Saccharomyces cerevisiae S288C: one gene and its partners. The gene in region 4 interacts genetically with the main gene of each other region. Each region holds a gene or a part of one and is shown on either strand. Other genes may lie near its edges. The genes, in order: UBP1, RKM3, QRI7 and PMP3.

The links.
Region 1: mutations in PMP3 (region 4) and UBP1 together harm fitness more than expected from each alone (negative genetic interaction), as found in Saccharomyces cerevisiae (2 studies listed by BioGRID).
Region 2: mutations in PMP3 (region 4) and RKM3 together harm fitness more than expected from each alone (negative genetic interaction), as found in Saccharomyces cerevisiae (2 studies listed by BioGRID).
Region 3: mutations in PMP3 (region 4) and QRI7 together harm fitness more than expected from each alone (negative genetic interaction), as found in Saccharomyces cerevisiae (2 studies listed by BioGRID).

Annotation. Positions count from the first base shown.
Region 1 is NC_001136.10:239,910-246,275, reverse strand, and holds UBP1 (ubiquitin-specific protease UBP1), read right to left. Parts: upstream 3,725-6,366; coding exon 1,295-3,724; downstream 1-1,294. Other genes in the region: YFH1 (ferroxidase), read right to left, coding at 1-353; EXP1 (Exp1p), read left to right, coding at 694-1,143; SNA4 (Sna4p), read right to left, coding at 4,436-4,858; YDL124W (aldo-keto reductase superfamily protein), read right to left, coding at 5,079-6,017. UniProt on the Saccharomyces cerevisiae protein: Has an ATP-independent isopeptidase activity, cleaving at the C-terminus of the ubiquitin moiety in natural or engineered linear fusion proteins, irrespective of their size or the presence of an N-terminal extension to ubiquitin.
Region 2 is NC_001134.8:295,719-301,425, reverse strand, and holds RKM3 (protein-lysine N-methyltransferase), read right to left. Parts: upstream 3,135-5,707; coding exon 1,476-3,134; downstream 1-1,475. Other genes in the region: 60S ribosomal protein uL4 RPL4A, read right to left, coding at 172-1,260; CDS1 (phosphatidate cytidylyltransferase), read left to right, coding at 3,684-5,057; putative protein kinase YPK3, read left to right, coding at 5,424-5,707. UniProt on the Saccharomyces cerevisiae protein: S-adenosyl-L-methionine-dependent protein-lysine N-methyltransferase that monomethylates 60S ribosomal protein L42 (RPL42A and RPL42B) at 'Lys-40'.
Region 3 is NC_001136.10:273,153-276,449, reverse strand, and holds QRI7 (putative N(6)-L-threonylcarbamoyladenine synthase), read left to right. Parts: upstream 1-1,573; coding exon 1,574-2,797; downstream 2,798-3,297. Other genes in the region: QRI1 (UDP-N-acetylglucosamine diphosphorylase), read left to right, coding at 1-1,302; Smc5-Smc6 complex subunit NSE4, read right to left, coding at 2,853-3,297. UniProt on the Saccharomyces cerevisiae protein: Required for the formation of a threonylcarbamoyl group on adenosine at position 37 (t(6)A37) in mitochondrial tRNAs that read codons beginning with adenine.
Region 4 is NC_001136.10:1,011,939-1,015,872, forward strand, and holds PMP3 (Pmp3p), read right to left. Parts: upstream 1,706-3,934; coding exon 1,538-1,705; downstream 1-1,537. Other genes in the region: YDR274C (uncharacterized protein), read right to left, coding at 1-22; triglyceride-associated lipolysis regulator TLD1, read left to right, coding at 314-1,021; MTH1 (Mth1p), read right to left, coding at 2,463-3,764. UniProt on the Saccharomyces cerevisiae protein: Plays a role in the regulation of membrane potential. Could mediate a proton leak.

The DNA of each region.
Region 1 (6,366 bases), 770 kb from region 4:
GTTCCAAAAGCTGGAATTTCCAATGTCATTACGCCATGGCTTAGCTCTACATCAGGTATACAATCCGGATGAGCCTCACTCAGTTCTTCTAAGCTATCTAGTAAATGGTCTAGGTAGTCATCTGCCTCTTCATGGTATTTTTCAAGCGGTAAGTTTAACACTTCTTGAGGCACAACTTGACCATCTGTCGAGGATTCTACAAATCTCTTCTGAAAAGTATTTACAGTATGATTCTTTTTATTTGTTACAGCTGGACAAAATCTGGCACGTTCTCCTCCTGCCGCTGCTATCATATATCTTCTGCCCATTACAGAGCTGACTCGAACTAAACTTGCGAGAGACCGCTTAATCATTGCTACACTCTATCTTCTCGCTTAGTTTTTTTTGAAATACTATCTTTCTGGTATTCAGTAGTACGTAACGATTTGTAAGTGTCTTCAAGCGAGGTTGCTTTCAATTAAAAATGCGATTCAAAGAGATCATTTACGGTTACTAATCCCTCATATCCTATAGGGCTATGTGGACATTGTAAGAAACGTGACTTTTCAAATATGATCACTGAATACGGTTTTTTGAAATTTGTCAAGTGCGATGAGTTGTATCTCTAAATCAAGCACCCATGATCTACGTTTAGTAAAAGAAAAGGACGAATTCCCTTAAAGTTCTCGGTGCCTAAGTCAATAAGTCCGGAGCATGAATCTATACGGTTATTTTTTACTTCTCATTATTGTGATTGCTTTCATTGCATTGTTGCCATTGTTTTCTGGCATCGGTACATTCAAACTAACAAAACCGAAATCGTCTGCAACAGCACAGTCAGCGACTGGTAAGCTTGGTAAGAGGGAATATTTGAAAAAAAAACTTGATCATACCAATGTATTAAAGTTTGATCTGAAGGACACGGAGGAAAGCCTTGGCCATGACAGTGCAAGTGCCTCTTCCGCTTCCAGAAAATTTGAAATAGACTCAAAGACAGGCCTTAAAAGACGTGTAATTGGACAGTACAACAAAGATCCAAATGATTTCGATTTCGATATTGATGACCTAATTAACGAAGATGAACTAGATGAACGGAGAGAAGAAGAGAAAAAGTTGAAGAAGTACAATGGTAAGAAAAATGAAGCTTACGAAGGATTTGTATAATAATGGAAGTGATTTTTGCAATTGTCCTACAAAAACTTTAGACATTCGTAACTAGCTAAACAATTGATTTAACGAATAACGTAGACTTTTAATTATTCAATTTAATTATAGTTATTGTTATTTACACAATTACGGATATCGTATTTATAACTTAGTTTACATCTTTACCAGAAATATCTCTATGGTCTTCTGTTCTCTCGAACTTCATCTGCTCTTGACCTTCCTCTTGCTCTTCACCTTCTCCTTGCTCTTGGCTTTCCTTTGGCTCCTGGACTCCTTTTTGCTCCTGCTCTTTTTCATCATCTTCTTCATTATTACTCTGAATAGCTTCCAAATCATCCTTCATCTTCCCAGTTTCTTCATCAAAGTCATATTCGTAAAATAACATAAATACACCGGGTGTTGAAAGGACTTCAGCTTCGTCCACAACGTACACAGTCTCATCAGATATTCTCCACCAACAACCCCTGTATTTTCTAAATGCAATGTAATGACCATAATTATGGGTACCGTAGTGAACAATGACAGAGCGCAATGAATATGTCAATGGAGTGGCTGGAACTGTGGAAAATGACCTAGCATAATTGATAGGTGGAGCTGGTATAACATCTTCCTCATCAGATGATGTTTCTAGTTGATCTTCAACATTGATCTTTGGTTCGTCAAGGCTCACATTGTCGATTTCTTGCAGTTCTTCATTATCTTTTACATTCTCGTTTTCAACATCAGAATGTTCTATGATCCTTTTTTTGATTGTATTCCCTAAAGCATCGGTTTCTTCAATGTACTCATCTTCATCATCGGATGTCACGCCATCGACTTCACCGTTTAGGGGATCATAGTTACTGATATCCTTGGTATGATTGTAATGAGACGCATAGTTCCCCTCTGCGTCATCGTATTCTTTTTCTTCCTCGCTGTCTTCAAATTCCTGCTCGAAGCGTTCATGTAATTTCGTATAGTATTCACCGCCAATGTTTTCATCTTCACTTGAATCTTGTTGCGCAGCTTTTTCCTTTTTTGACATTGGCAAACGAGCATCCAAATTGATTTCATTAATATCACAACACCATGGGGCAAGATTCAACCTTGACTTAAACAATACTTTCGAGTTATTTTTTCTAATCATGTACGTTCTTGGATCAAATACGGATCTGTTGATATGAATGGATAATAATGGTGGAGGTCTTGATATTAAAATCTGCTTAGATTTAGAGCATTTACGTACCATATTTGCTGTATGCAACTTCTTATAATCTTCATCGTCAATAACTGGTTTGGCAAGAACTTCTTCGATTTGATGGACCCTATCTTTTACAGCGTTAATTAACTTTTCTGGGATCGAACCCTCAGGTTTTTTTTCAAATTCTTTCAACTGACCAAATAAATGAGAGTGCGCTGCTGTGAGGGCACAACGGTTACATTCTACGCCTTCGATGATTTCAGGTTTACTCCAGTCGCTTAATAACTGAGATAATTTTAAAGTGGAACCAATATTCTCGTTCGGTAAATTTAAGCTTAATCCCGAAAATACGGAATATCTTATGCCACCGTTCTCACCACACTGTAAACAACCAATTCTTTCTGCCGTGATACCATCTAAAGGAGTCATTAGTTTGAAAGGTGTGAAATTTTGAATGGACTTGTCATGTAGTATAGAGTTAGGATCAATCTGTTCAGTTGGAATGTAAACAGTGCCAACTTCACCAAGGTTAAGTTGACCTACTAAAGCATCATCGGGTAATTCTGATTTCGCAACTGGAGTGGTATCTAGTTTTTCAGTATTCAATGATTTAACGTTACTTTCCAACTCGGCTAGTATGTTCTGGAAGAATTCTTGCGCGTCCTCTTGGTCGTAGCCAAGAAGAATATTTTTTCTTGGAGATTTGGACATTGCTTTCAATAAACTATTGGTTTTGAAATAGGGTTTATCCCGATAATACTTCGCATTTAAGGCAGAAAGTAGATCCCTTAAGGCGACACTGAAAGTGATATCTGGCTCCTGGCTCTTTTCTTCGTCTTCTTTCGAACTTGACTTCCTATTCAATTTCTTCTTATGCTTACCATAAACTTTGCCACCCTTACGAGTGTTTTTCTTATGAGTGGCTTCATCTTGAGCAGATTCTTGCCCGTTTCCTTCTTCATTGTGTTCATTTTGTTCTATCTCCTCATAGGTCCTTATGACATTATTGTCCAAGAACTCCATTAATTCTCTGGATGATGCCAATGATTGCAAAACAGAGTTCATAAAACAAGTGTTACCATCATTAACTAAACCAGCAATGAAACCACCTCTTTTCAAGATCTCTTCGTCTAAGTGGGTAAACTTACTTCTGGGCAACCAACGGCTAAGGCTATTATTATTTCTGAAGTTTGTTGTCATTTCACTAACGCTCTCAACAATGTAGTTTAGATGGTCTGGTTTTTTATAAAAAAATACTACTATGCCAAAAATTAATAAATAAATCGATAGATTGTTATTGTTGTTACTCCAAGTTTTAAAATTTCTCAAAAAATCCTGTCGGGAACCAAATAAAAATTGTAATAAACTGTTTATCTTGCTTTCAATAAACAAATCCATACAAAATTTTGTAGATTAAAAGGGGAGAAGTGTTCGAAAGTATCTAGTTTCGAACAAGGGAGGGCACTGAAGACGTAAAATGATCAGACGTTATAATGGAAAAGAAAGGAGAAGCGAATTTTGACAATCGCTTCTATTCTTTGAATGTGTATAAAATTTTTTTTTCCTGAGAAAAAAAAGGACGCAGATCACAATATTAAAAGCAATACTATGGCGTGCTTTTAAAGCAAAAAATGTTTCTGTTTTTTAAATATATAACCAATAATTATTGTATAATAGATTTAACTAGCCTGGCCATCTTGAAAATTTTGTGGTGCTAGTGAAAAATGTATTTTCGTTTTCCAATGATGGAAAAAGAAACTTGCCTACATAGATGTCATTCTGTACGTAAAGAGGAAAAGAAGGGATATAGCAGAATACACGTATGAAGGTAGGAAGGTTTCCAACAGGCGCTTACTGGTAGTATGATATATGGACATTCAGTGACGTTTATGGGAAAAACATTACGGCTTACAGATCCGCAAAATAGTTATAGGCTCGAGGGAGCTGGCGGTATTGATCGAAGAAGCTGTCAAAATGAAATACATTTCTTAATGGCAGCTCTTTTACTTTGACTGGCAAACCTCTTTGCTAAGGAAGATCATAGGAAAGAGAAGAACGGTCTTCGCTTGCTTGCTTGCTGGAATTTTCATTTTCCTTGCTGTAGCTTCATCATGGCACATAAGGAGGAGGAGACTCAACCAGAGACTGTTTGTTGTCATGGGGAGCTGCGCCTTGTAACAGAGGAGTTTCAACGCTCGGGTATACGTTTCTAGCGGAGCTTCCTTGTTGTGGGCGGTTTTGGGGGGTCTGCGAGTTTTGAGGACGATTCGAAGGAACGTTTCTTTCGCTATCCACCCAGCCTTGCTGGTAATAATAGACGTATTCAGCGTTCCTTAAAGGACTTGTAATTGTGATGTAGTAGAATGCGTGTAACATACCGGGCAAAAATCCCAGTAGCGTTAGCAATACATTCAGGAGGAAATCAGATGAACAAGGCCCAGATCGAAGAAGGACTGCAGCTGGGGGGAAAAAAAACGCAACAATATACAGTATAAAGTCAGAAACGGTACAACAAACACAGTAGCAACACATGATGCGCGTCCCTATCTGTCTCTGCTCAGTGTGGCACCTTTATTGGGGAGATGCCCTCTTCCGGTATTTTTTGATGGCCTTTTATATAATGTACAGCCCTTTTTTCTTCCTCGATGCTGAAAAGTGGCGGGATGGGTAACGGGGTGATAAACCTGACAAAAAAAGTCGATTAATAAAGTTATACAAAACAAATATGACTCGTACATAAATTATCCGGTATTTATACTTTTTGAGCAGCGTAGTTGTATTTACCGTACAATTTATTCCAATACAATCTTAGCGGTTCATGTTCCAAGCCCAACTCCGTTATCTTATCGACTTCCTCAGCCGTCAAGTCGAAAGAGAATAAATTTTGCGCGTCAGAAATTCTTTGAGGTTTGGAAGAGGTGGTTACAGGCAACACGCCACGTTTGGTCACCCAACGTAGGATAATTTGGGCTTCAGATTTGATATATTTCTCGGATAACTCTTTCACGTATTCGAAAAACGGTTGAGAGTCATCTTGTGCTGTTTTCTTTTGTAAGGGACCTAGTGGCGAGTATGCTTCTACCAATATATCATGTTCTTGGCAAAATTTGTAGATCCCTGGTGTTTGATTCTGCAAGAAGGGACTGAACTCAATTTGATTAACTTGGGGCTTGACTTCCGCAACTTTCAGAATTCTTTGCAAGTCTTCCACAGCAAAGTTGGAAACACCGATATTTTTAGCTTTACCTGATTTGTACAATTGCTCCATGTCCTTCCAGGCTTCCTCCAAACTTAACCCGTTGACCTCTTTGGAAACAAATGGGCTATGCAAAAGGTATAGATCGACATAGTCAGTGCCCATCTTCTTCAAAGCTAAATCTAGTCCATCCGCTGGGGAATCTGACATCTTGATTTGAGGTGAGTACTTGTCTGTCAAGAATATTGCATTTCTTGGTTTTTCGGTGAGGCTAAGTGCCTTCCCAACTTCTGGATATGTTCTGTAGATCTCAGCAGCATCAATGTGAATAATGCCAGGTAACTTCAGAGCATAAACAATCTGTTCGACCAAACTGTTCGAAAAGGTAGCATCCGTTTCTTCGTTTTTATACCATCTAGTACCTGTCCCAATGATGGCGATTGCGGGGATTTTATTTCCATTATTCAAGGTAAAGAACTGTTGGTGAAATGACATCTGTAAAAGTGTTGTTAACTGACCTCCGTTTCTTTAGGGTAACACAACCGTTTACATGTGTATCCATATCCACGTAGTATCCGACTATCAATATATCCGTATATATATATATATATATATGGGATGAGCGTATGTGAGTGTTTTCGTAGATATTCAAAATACGAGTAAAGGAGATCCTAGGTGTGGATTAGTAAGGGGAGTGTGGCAACTTCCTTTTTCCGGTTAATTCTCCGCGCTTTCGTTAGACTATTTTGCAAGGACCCAAATAGGAGACGCATGGAGGCTTCTACAAAACAGCGTGCCGTTTTGATGGCATGAGCAGGGGGCGCAAAGGAAACACCGGTAAATC
Region 2 (5,707 bases), on a different chromosome or scaffold from region 4:
CATATCGTAAAACTGATCGAACATCAACATATATACATTAAACATAACGAACAAATATCCAAAAAAAAGAATAATTTTAAGTTCAAGAGGCAGTCGTTACCGCTTTAAAGGTATTAAAGGCTTATGTATGTATATAAAAAATAAAAGAATATTTTTAATGTACTAATAAGTTTAATCGTGTTTCAAAGTTTCGGTGAAAACAGCAGCTGGCTTGGTACCAGTCTTTTCAGCCTTCTTGGAACCTAGCTTTTCAGCAGCAAAGACCTTGGCGTAAGGGTTCAATCTCAACAAGACTTGCTTGTTCTTCAATGGGTTCTTCTTCAAAACGTGAGTACGCTTTTGAGTAGCTTGGCCAGCTGGTCTGATAGCAGATTGGATTTCGGAAGAGTTGATAATTCTGGTGACATCAGAAGTGGAGATGATATGGGATGGCAAAGTGTAGCCGACCTTGGAGGAGGCAACGGTTTCGGAACCCCAGACTTGGTCCAACTTGGTGAAAGCAGCTTCGGTCCAGATAACGAATCTACCCAAGTGAGCACCTGGAGCCAATTGCAACAAGTTCAAAGAAGCAACGTTGGCAGTTTCAACACCTGGAACGTTTCTCAAGGCCTTGACGATACCGTTGTCTTCAGCGTAGACAACTAATGGACCTCTTCTTTGAGTCCATCTTCTGTTTCTGTACTTACCCTTACCGGCTCTCAATTTCTTGGACTTCAAGACCTTCAACAAGTCGGAGTGAGCACCAACAGCCTTCAAAGCAGCAACAGCTTCCTTGGTCTTTTGAATAGATTCCAAGTCAGTGGAGACAACCAATGGGATTTCTGGAATCTTTTCGACTCTGTGACCTCTGGCCAAGACCAAAGAGGCAACAGCAGTAGCAGCAATAGCAGAAGCAGTGGCGTAACGCTTTTCGTTGTGGTTAACCTTAACGTTCCACTTTCTCCAGGTCTTAGTTGGAGCAAACATACGACCACCACGACACATGTTACCGAAGGCACCTTGACCGGATCTACCGGTACCACCACCACCAACTCTTGGAATACGAGCGACGGCACGACCGGTACCCCAGGATTCAGCGGAGGTTTGGTGACCAGCCTTTTCAGAAACAGCGTAAGCTTGTCTCTTGTTCTTGTTCACAGAGGTGAAAACAGTGTGGACAATGTCTGGACGGATAGGAGCGGAGAAGACAGCTGGCAATGGCAAGGCATTGGCAGTAGCTTCACCAGTCAAAGAGTGAACAGTAACTTGTGGACGGGACATTTCGATGATTGTTCTTGGGATATTGCTAAATTACAAGAAAAGTGATGAAAAGTACAAGTTGCGAGGCTAAAAGAAATGTGATGGAGATACCATTCGTTTATATAAATTTTTTTTTTTTTTTTTTTTTTTTTTCAGATTGAAAAAAAATTTTTCACTTCTCACTGTGCGTCGTGTGACGTGATATTAATATAGTAAAAGTGCATATTCAATATTATTTAGGATAGTCTCTTGAGACATCTATCTAAGATATTATGCTCCGATTGTACAAGTGTTCGAGCATTTTGGAGCATGCTTTTAGTAGCACTTGTTATCTTTGACGAGTTGTCGCCTTTTATGCAAGGTAGTTGCTTTTCCTTAAGTAAGTTGGAAAGCAGTTTCTTGGAATGGGGATTGTCTTTTTTGGCCAGGAAGGGCAGCTTTTCTTCGTTAACTATAGAATCACTGATGTGAGGAGTGGCCTTTTTGGAAAACAATGATTCCCATTGAACGGCCGTTAAAGTCAAAAGGTTAGCTAAGGCCCACGTTGAGGGTGAAGGCTCGCCACTTGAGTCTATGTAAAGCTGGGAAAGCCATGATTCCAAGCTATCATCACCCTCTTCCTCTTCCTCTTCCTCTTCGCTCTCTATATCGTCAGACAGATTGTCTGATTTTGCTTGACCGTCTTCGTCTTCTTCATCTTCTTGGCGCATTTGAGCATACCATGCTGAAAACAAGCCATGACCGACTTGGCTCCACCACTTGACTTTTTCTTGATATTTTTCTTCTTTCTTTAAGATTTTCATAAAATCAGGTCCTAAATGAACAATATCATACTGATTCTCAGGTACGGTGAAACCATATCTGGCCAACAAAAAGACGTTTGAGAGCTCACCATAGGAATTAAATATTTCTTGGCCTTGTGCGACGTCATTCTTTAACACTAAATCGACACATTCGTCAGGGTTTTCAATACCGCCATCATCATCCTCGATGTTTGCCGTAACATTAGAGTATTCTTTCTCTAAATCATTTTCTAAACTTTTGATTAAGTCTTCATCGATGACACGAGTCTCCATACTTGCGACTTTGGGCATATTTTTGTCTAGATTTTCTGCTTCCAAGTATTCCTCTGCTATGAGATGTTTACACATGTCTGGTTCACCACATTTATCGCACACATCATATAGCGATACAAACTTTAAATCCGGGTCGGAAACATGATGATTGAACAGGTCTGCGATGGGCACCAAAGCTGTCTCATGGTACGCGTCAATTTCAAATCCTCTTGATGATAAAGTATATGCCACCGATATAAACTTTTCTAATTTCAAATTGTAATCTTCTTCATGATTCTCCTCACTAACGTCTAGGAAGCCTTTTGGAATTTCCAACCCAAACTCGTCGTTCCATTTGTGTGCCAAATCCACAGCAATTTCAAATCCTTCCATGATTTCTTCTTCTGGTGCCAACGAATCGAATAAGGTATCGAAACTGGTTCCTTTTAAAAGTCGCTTAGCATCCGCATGCCAAAAGCTTGGCGGCAGGTTTAAGTGCCCTTCGTCATCACGAATTCGGATAGTTCGCAGAAATGGGTACCAATGACTAGAATTTCTGAAAACTGTAGTTTCGTAAATGAATGCGATGTTTAGAGCTAACATTCCATCGATGCTACTGTCACATAACAAATTGGCAATGGAGCTGTTAGATGCAGAAAAAATCGAGGATTTGTTCAACGTCAATATTGACTCACCTTCTGCAATATCAGTCTTTGCAAAGACACCCAATCCACCGAGAGGCGATTCTCTTATATCACATTTGGAATCTTCAAACCTGCCATTGCAATTAGCAACAAACTTCAGAATCCGATGAACATCGTCCTTAAAAGTTACGGACATCTCACTCTTTCAAATTTATTTTTTAATTGCTATTATATATGGCAACAAATCTTTCTTATTGTATCTGCCACCTCATCTCAGCTGCCTTCATCGAGTATACTTCATTTGATTTTCTGATATTTATTGCTCGTTTTTCGCTATTTTGATGCAGTACATCTCAGAATTCAACGGAGAACGTGGATATATTAGGCACAAAGAATCATAAACAAACGCCCATGTAAATAACTATCAATACACTACTTTCTAAACCAATCTGCAGGAGCTCCACCTTGATCGCTTTGGCTTATTCCAGGCGTTTTCAGGCACTGTATATTGGTACTATATCGCTATGTATTTGACAGTCATTATCAACGGATACCCTTCTTGAAAATTTTTCAGATGGGATGACATGTGAAAAGTGTAACAATCGAGAACTGTAAACAGCATGGGGGAGCATTCATCAATATTGTTATTTAGTGTAAGCCAGATTGTGAAGACGCACTTCTTGCCAAGTATCTTCCCAAACAGCGAACCTGTCATACTTAACTGTTCCACTTCCATATACCTAAAATGTCTGACAACCCTGAGATGAAACCACATGGTACGAGCAAGGAGATTGTGGAGTCGGTTACTGACGCCACCTCAAAGGCGATTGATAAATTGCAAGAAGAACTCCACAAGGACGCCAGCGAATCCGTCACGCCGGTGACCAAGGAAAGCACTGCTGCTACAAAGGAAAGCAGGAAATACAACTTTTTCATTAGAACAGTTTGGACGTTTGTTATGATCAGTGGTTTCTTCATCACCTTAGCATCGGGTCATGCATGGTGTATAGTGCTGATTTTGGGCTGCCAAATTGCTACTTTTAAAGAGTGTATTGCCGTAACAAGTGCATCTGGTCGCGAAAAGAATTTGCCATTGACAAAGACGTTGAACTGGTACCTTCTCTTCACCACTATCTATTACTTAGATGGGAAATCACTCTTCAAGTTTTTCCAAGCTACTTTTTACGAGTATCCTGTATTGAACTTTATCGTAACAAATCATAAGTTTATCTGCTATTGTCTCTATCTTATGGGATTTGTTCTGTTCGTTTGTAGTTTAAGAAAGGGATTTTTGAAATTCCAGTTCGGATCATTGTGCGTTACTCATATGGTTCTTCTTCTGGTAGTATTTCAGGCTCATTTGATCATCAAAAACGTGCTCAATGGGCTATTCTGGTTCTTATTACCATGCGGGTTGGTAATTGTTAATGATATCTTCGCCTACCTGTGCGGCATTACATTCGGTAAGACTAAACTAATAGAAATCTCGCCCAAGAAAACTTTAGAAGGTTTCCTTGGTGCCTGGTTTTTCACTGCTCTAGCTAGTATTATATTAACAAGGATTCTGAGCCCTTATACTTACTTGACGTGCCCTGTTGAAGATCTCCATACCAATTTTTTCTCTAATTTGACATGTGAACTAAACCCAGTTTTCCTTCCACAAGTTTACAGACTTCCACCCATCTTTTTCGATAAAGTTCAAATCAATTCAATTACAGTAAAACCAATTTATTTCCATGCTTTAAACTTAGCTACCTTTGCATCATTATTTGCGCCATTTGGAGGCTTTTTCGCATCTGGTCTAAAGAGAACTTTTAAAGTTAAAGACTTTGGCCACTCCATCCCAGGCCATGGTGGTATCACAGACAGGGTTGATTGCCAATTCATAATGGGTTCTTTTGCCAATTTGTACTATGAAACATTCATCAGCGAACACAGAATAACAGTAGATACAGTTTTATCCACTATTTTAATGAACCTGAACGACAAGCAGATTATAGAATTGATTGATATCTTGATTAGATTCCTATCTAAAAAAGGTATAATATCAGCGAAGAATTTTGAAAAGTTGGCTGACATCTTTAATGTGACCAAGAAATCATTGACCAATCACTCTTGAATATAAAAAAGACCATATAAAAGTATATATGAGTGTATGAATAGTTTTTTTTTTTCAAACTTATGCACGCTATACTACTCTTTCCCTATTTAGTTTATGTAAATTATAAAATATGATATCAATTCTTTAACAAAATTTCTCGCTCGTTTTTATACTTATGACTATATGTAGGAAAATAAACGTGTTGCTCTGTCATGTTACTTCTAAAATATTGAGAGGAGAAAAAAAAAAAAAAAAAAAAAATTATAAACAAATGAAAAAAGGACGTACTGACTAATAGTAAGTAGATCTTTTACCTGGAAGGTGCCCTATGATAAGATTTTTCATCAACCAATCTAGCTGAGCATACTGTTGGCAGTAATTAGGATGATTTTCTCACTAGATGAAGAACTTCATCGTGTGTCACTAGATGATAAAAAGAATGACATTAAAGTAGATTATTCCTCGGCAATATACAATGATATCAATCATGAACAAGGCAGCTCCATCACATATGAGGAGAGTATAAATCACCTCTCGGTTCATTCAAATGCGATTCCGCTAAATGGCATGAGTCCTGCACATAGGATGAGAAGAAGGTCCTCAGCTTATTCCAAATTCCCTATTCTCACTCCACCAAATACGAGAAGATTTTCTATTACAGGTTCGGA
Region 3 (3,297 bases), 740 kb from region 4:
GCAAAACTACTGGAAGACTGTCAAAATGCTATTAAATTCTCACTAGCTAACTCTTCTAAGGATACTGGCGTCGAAATTTCACCATTGCCCCCTACTTCGTACGAGTCGCTTATTGGCAACAGTAAGAAAGAAAATGAATACTGGCGTTTAGGCCTTGAAGCTATTGGCAAGGGTGAAGTCGCAGTGATTTTAATGGCTGGCGGACAAGGTACGCGGTTAGGATCCTCTCAACCAAAGGGCTGTTACGACATTGGATTGCCTTCTAAGAAATCTCTTTTTCAAATTCAAGCTGAAAAGTTGATCAGGTTGCAAGATATGGTAAAGGACAAAAAGGTAGAAATTCCTTGGTATATTATGACATCAGGCCCCACTAGAGCGGCTACTGAGGCATACTTTCAAGAACACAATTATTTTGGCTTGAATAAAGAACAAATTACGTTCTTCAACCAGGGAACCCTGCCTGCCTTTGATTTAACCGGGAAGCATTTCCTAATGAAAGACCCAGTAAACCTATCTCAATCACCAGATGGAAATGGTGGACTCTACCGTGCCATCAAGGAAAACAAGTTGAACGAAGACTTTGATAGGAGAGGAATCAAGCATGTTTACATGTACTGTGTCGATAATGTCCTATCTAAAATCGCAGACCCTGTATTTATTGGTTTTGCCATCAAGCATGGCTTCGAACTGGCCACCAAAGCCGTTAGAAAGAGAGATGCGCATGAATCAGTTGGGTTAATTGCTACTAAAAACGAGAAACCATGTGTCATAGAATATTCTGAAATTTCCAATGAATTGGCTGAAGCAAAGGATAAAGATGGCTTATTAAAACTACGCGCAGGCAACATTGTAAATCATTATTACCTAGTGGATTTACTAAAACGTGATTTGGATCAGTGGTGTGAGAATATGCCATATCACATTGCGAAGAAGAAAATTCCAGCTTATGATAGTGTTACCGGCAAGTACACTAAGCCTACCGAACCAAACGGTATAAAATTAGAGCAATTCATATTTGATGTCTTTGACACTGTACCACTGAACAAGTTTGGGTGCTTAGAAGTAGATAGATGCAAAGAATTTTCACCTTTAAAAAACGGTCCTGGTTCTAAGAACGATAATCCTGAGACCAGCAGACTAGCATATTTGAAACTAGGAACCTCGTGGTTGGAAGATGCAGGCGCTATTGTAAAAGATGGGGTACTAGTCGAAGTTTCCAGCAAATTGAGTTATGCAGGTGAAAATCTATCCCAGTTCAAAGGTAAAGTCTTTGACAGAAGTGGTATAGTATTAGAAAAATAACTGTTTGAGCTACTTATGAAGCACTTTTAACATGTAATTGAAAAGTACTCGTAATTGTGATTCAATATATATAATAAAATATTTCGTACTCTGAAAAATAGCTAAATTACTTGTTTTATGTAATTTCTATTTGGCGGATCCGCTCTGCCAATGGAAAGAGTGGCATCTTCATTGCGCGATGATTAATTGACAATGAAATTAAAGCAAACAGCGATTCTCAAGCTCTGAAATAAGTAGAGTAGAAGAAAGGATAGAAACTTTTTTTTTCATTATGATATCAATAAAAGGAACCGGAAGATTTCTCCTCGATAACTATAGAATTTGGCAGAGGCGTGCATTCAACAGACCAATACAGTTAAGAAAAGGCTATAAAGTTTTAGCCATTGAGACTTCTTGCGATGATACATGCGTTTCAGTTTTGGACAGGTTCTCAAAAAGTGCAGCTCCTAATGTGCTAGCCAATTTGAAAGATACTTTAGATAGTATTGACGAAGGAGGTATTATACCAACAAAGGCTCATATCCATCACCAAGCTCGGATAGGACCCTTAACCGAAAGAGCCCTGATAGAAAGCAATGCGAGAGAAGGAATTGATCTCATATGTGTTACAAGAGGCCCTGGTATGCCTGGTTCATTATCAGGAGGATTAGATTTTGCAAAAGGTTTAGCTGTTGCCTGGAACAAACCACTGATTGGTGTGCATCACATGCTGGGACACTTGCTGATACCAAGAATGGGTACAAATGGAAAAGTGCCTCAATTTCCCTTTGTTAGCCTGCTGGTTAGTGGTGGTCATACTACGTTTGTTTTGTCACGAGCAATTGACGATCACGAAATATTATGTGATACTATCGATATTGCAGTGGGTGACTCATTAGATAAATGTGGCAGAGAGCTTGGATTCAAGGGAACAATGATCGCTAGAGAAATGGAGAAATTTATTAATCAAGATATTAACGACCAAGATTTTGCTTTAAAACTAGAAATGCCCAGTCCGTTAAAAAACAGCGCTAGTAAAAGAAACATGCTTTCGTTTTCGTTTTCAGCATTTATCACAGCATTAAGAACTAATTTGACAAAACTAGGTAAAACAGAAATCCAGGAACTGCCAGAACGCGAAATACGGTCAATTGCATATCAAGTACAGGAATCTGTTTTCGACCATATAATAAATAAACTGAAGCACGTGCTCAAGTCACAACCGGAAAAGTTTAAAAACGTGCGTGAATTTGTATGTTCTGGTGGAGTGAGTAGTAATCAAAGGTTGAGAACAAAATTAGAAACGGAATTGGGGACGTTGAACTCCACAAGCTTTTTTAATTTTTATTATCCTCCTATGGACCTTTGTAGTGACAACTCTATTATGATCGGCTGGGCAGGTATCGAGATATGGGAAAGCTTACGATTAGTTAGTGATTTAGATATATGTCCAATTAGGCAATGGCCATTGAATGACCTATTAAGTGTTGATGGTTGGAGAACGGACCAGCTATGAAAAAAAAAAAAAAAAAAAAAAAACTGTACATATTATATGCAGCGCTCTATCGCTGTTAGTCTAAGAATGGTGAAGTGATGTTGTATTTCTTTATTAGTTTTCGCCAAGTAGGCATGTCCATTTGAAAAATAATGTGATTCTGATGAGCGGCACGACGCCTTTGTCTCTCAATTTCTTTACTTCTTGAATCTGTGTGACTTATGCTTTGTTTTATCTTAATTGTGGGTAAACCTTCTTCATCGTGTTCCATCAATAGTTTTCCCTCTTTGATCAAAAAACTGGTATAGAAAAGATTTTCGATGGATCGCGAGAATGAATTTGGGTCTATAATAAATTTAAAAAGATTAATGGAACCTTCTGGGCCTAATTTTTTTGAAAGCTTTTTGAAACATTTCTTGACCTGTTCAGGGGTAGTTTCTTGCTGTGTGGAGTTTAAAGAATGCTGAGTGATTTTCTCAGCGGTGATCTTTTCACCAACTTGGTCATTATTCCTTCTTCGT
Region 4 (3,934 bases):
AATGTAAAAGGCAAGAAAACATGTACGAGGGAAGAGAAGGGGGCAAAAGAAAGATAATAGGAACGGTGTAGATGAACTAGAAAAGGTTCAAGAGATGATAAACGTGAAGGGAGTGTCATATCTACCGACATAAAGATAGAGATCTTTTTTTTTCCTTTATTTTTTTTTTTGATTTTTTTTTTTGATTTTCTTGATATTAGTTTTTAGAAGTCCTTTGACGGGGCAGCCGGAGAATATATACCAACGGCATTCTATTGTCTTTTTTTCTTCCTTCCTTGCCAGGCATCTGCATCCATTATTGCCTTTAGTTACAATGTTTTTTTTCCCGAAGCTTAGAAAACTTATAGGTTCAACTGTGATCGATCACGATACCAAGAACTCATCAGGAAAGGAAGAGATCATGTCAAATAGCCGATTAGCACTTGTTATTATCAACCACGCCTTTGATAAGGTACTATCTTTGACGTGGCACTGCGGGATATTATCCGAAATAAGATCAGGACTGATGTTAATGTTTGGCATTTTCCAGTTGATGTGCTCTTTGGGTGTCATCGTATTGCTGTTGCCTATTATCATACTGGACGCGATCGATCTATTCCTCTACATGTGCAGGTTGCTTGATTACGGTTGCAAGTTATTCCACTACAATAGATCATCATTACCGGTGGCAGATGGAAAAGAAAAGACCAGTGGTCCCATAAGCGGAAAGGAGGAAATAGTTATTGATGAGGAGATAATTAATATGCTAAATGAATCCTCAGAATCATTGATCAATCATACTACAGCTGGTCTGGAATATGATATTAGTTCAGGTAGTGTTAACAAAAGTAGGCGTTTGAATTCAACTAGTACAGTTACATTTGTGAAGCAGAATAAACTTGTTAATGAAAGGAGGGAAGACGCCTACTACGAGGAAGAGGATGATGATTTCCTATCAAATCCGAATTATGATAAGATATCATTGATCGAAAAATCATTCACGAGTCGTTTTGAAGTGGCTTGTGAGCAGAAAGCTGCTTAAATTGATAATCAAGGTCAAGGCAACGCAACGCCACTGCTAAGAACACTTATTGCTACAGAAAGGAAACTAAAAATAATTATAAGGCTAGAGAGAAATAAAAACAAAATAAGAGAGATAATATGGGTAAGGGTCTGCCACCCATCTGATAAAAGGCTGTTCTATCTTTTGGAACTCTACAACACAGGTAAACGGATGATACTGGCTATATTTATATAGATAAACAAACTTGCAGGACAGATAGTTAAGCGTCTATATCATGTGTATTTTAAGCGAAGAAAAAAGTACAAAAATGATAAAAGGCAAAAAAGATGAGAAGTTTTTTTTGTGATAAAATTAATTATTAAAAAATACACACGTAGTTAAAATTAACAGCGGGGGAGGAAACCTTAAGAGAAAGAGAAACAAAAAAAAAGAAAGGAAACAAATAAAAATGAGGGTGACCCGAACATGTTGATACCGTTTCCTAATACTGCTTCCTTATTTCATTTGATAGTTACTTTCGTTTATTGAATGAGCTTAATCTTGTAGGACAATGTACAAGGCATATAGCATACCTGGGAACCAAGCCAAAATGGTCAAAATGATATCCACTATACAGTCAGTACCCCACCCACGGGCTAGAAAAACGGCGACTGGTGGTAAGAAAAGGGATAATATAATGTTAATGATCTTGGCAGAATCCATTGTTGTATTGTGCTGTGCTGTTTAGTTCAAAATGTATAATCAATTGTATTATACTGGCGAAAAACAACAACCGATAGTAAATTTTCTTCTTTTTTTCCTTTCCCTCTTCCAAAACAAAAACACTCACTTCCTCTTTTGTATTTATAGAGGCGCCCATCGCAAAATAACCAGGACCCCCTTTTGAGGGCGTGGTTAAAGGGCACCCAGAGCCCACACCCATTGCATCTTCCGCTATTAGGGGACTGCGGAAGTGAGGGGAGCAGTAAATAGTGATCTTTGTAATTTTCTGCAAAATCCCTCTCGCTGTCTCGGGTTTTTCGATTCAGAGGACCTTCCCCCCCCCATGTTCCGAGATCGGTTTTGGTGGTTAGAAGGCCGGAGGAAAGACATTTACCGCTTGCGCGCGGCTTCTTCTGTATGCTGTGCTCAACTACCAAGAGAAGGATTACGCGCACGGATACGTTGGATGTCTGCGATTGGTGATGCTAAGAACTAAAGGTATTTCGTCATCGTATGGTTTGATCTTCGCTACCCTTGACTCTTTACTGCGATAACGGTACCACGTTCCCATAAAATTCTTATTACTAAATCTCTATAAAGCTGCAACAGCTAGTTTGTATATATAAATCATTGGCGCTTCTTCCTCAATTCCTTGGGAATTTGGAGCTCCTCTATTAAAACTGATGTCCATGGGATAGTATTGATACAATCGAAGAGTCTCCAAAAAAACCATCGGGAAGGTTTCTTTTTAGTATCTTCAGGATACTGAATCCGGCTGCCAATCCAATCCTAATCTTTGGTAAACTTGTGCCTGACATTGCGACCATATCGTAGCCTTTTCTTCTTTAGATAAGCTGACTTTGTTTTTTCCCTGTTGATTTGTTGCGGCGCTTGATCTCATCATCAATTCATCAAGGTTATTATTGGGGTTTTTCAACTGAATGTTCTTCAATAAAGCCTTTTTCAGAAGCGATTTTGTTTCTGTGCTGTTTTTCCGCGGTATTATGCTTGGTGGGGGCATGTCCGGTCTTTTTAAGTTGGACTGTTGTAACTTCCATTTCTTATATTCGGAGCATCTTTGTTTGAAATCAAACCTGCATTGTGCCTCTACTGCTATATTTAAGAGGTAATTTTCGATGATATTTCTCCATTCCGGTTTCGACAAATTCATGACGGCTTCATTTCTACCAGTTATATGCTCATGTCTTTTTCTAGCGGTCGCTACTGTATATTTGGCGCTGGTTAGTTTGAATTCATAATCTAAGTTAGCCTCCATGTACAGATCCGAATGGACTAACGTTGCGATTATGGTCTCATCGCTAGAATATAGTGGTAATAATTGTAACCTAAACTGGGGCATATTATCACCCACCGTTATTACTTCCGGTAGTTGATTACCCCATTCGGGCCTTAACTTCTCGACTATCAATAACGATCTTATATCGTTTAAATCCCAATCCAATAACTCTCTCTTGGTAAACTTGGGACGCCCGTTACAGAGAATGTTGGATGGGTCTGCTAATAGAATATCTGGCGAATACATGTCATAAAACGTTTTGGGTAATGCTTCATCCAGGCTCACTCTCGTGATTAACTTGTGGTTAGGAAATTCGGAGAACGAAGAGTCATTAGTTAGTTGCGTGTGCACAGTAGAGGGGGCAGAAAATATACTTGATTGATAAGACGAGGCATTATCCGAAAGTAAACTCCCACTTTCAGCCACGCTTGATCTCCTGCTCGCTGAATGCATACTGCTTGAATGATGTGACCTTCTGCTAGGTGAGGAGGCCAATAATCTTTTTTTAATCTCATCTCTAGCTCTATCAGTGTACTCCGGAGGAGCATTCACAAAGTTCTCTCTTCTCGAAGAAGTCGTGGATTGAGAGCTACTCATTGATAGTGGCAAACTTTGAAAAGAAGCATTATCACTGCCACTCATCGTGTTTTCCGGAATGGCCTGTAGGGAGCTTGCAAACCCATGATTACTGTTAGTCGATTCTAATGGACGTCGTTGTAAAACTTGGTTTTTCGAAGTTGCTGGTGGTGGTGAAACAAACATTCCTTTGAGTGTGTGTACTCTATGCGTTCGAATAAAATTCTCTTTGTATTGCTGCTTGTGGTTTCGCTATTGAGAACTTTCAATATACGTTAAAAAATACTTGGAGTGAAATGAACAAATCTTTTTGTATGTTTCCTTAAGTTATTAAAAAACTCCATGCTGTTTTTTAA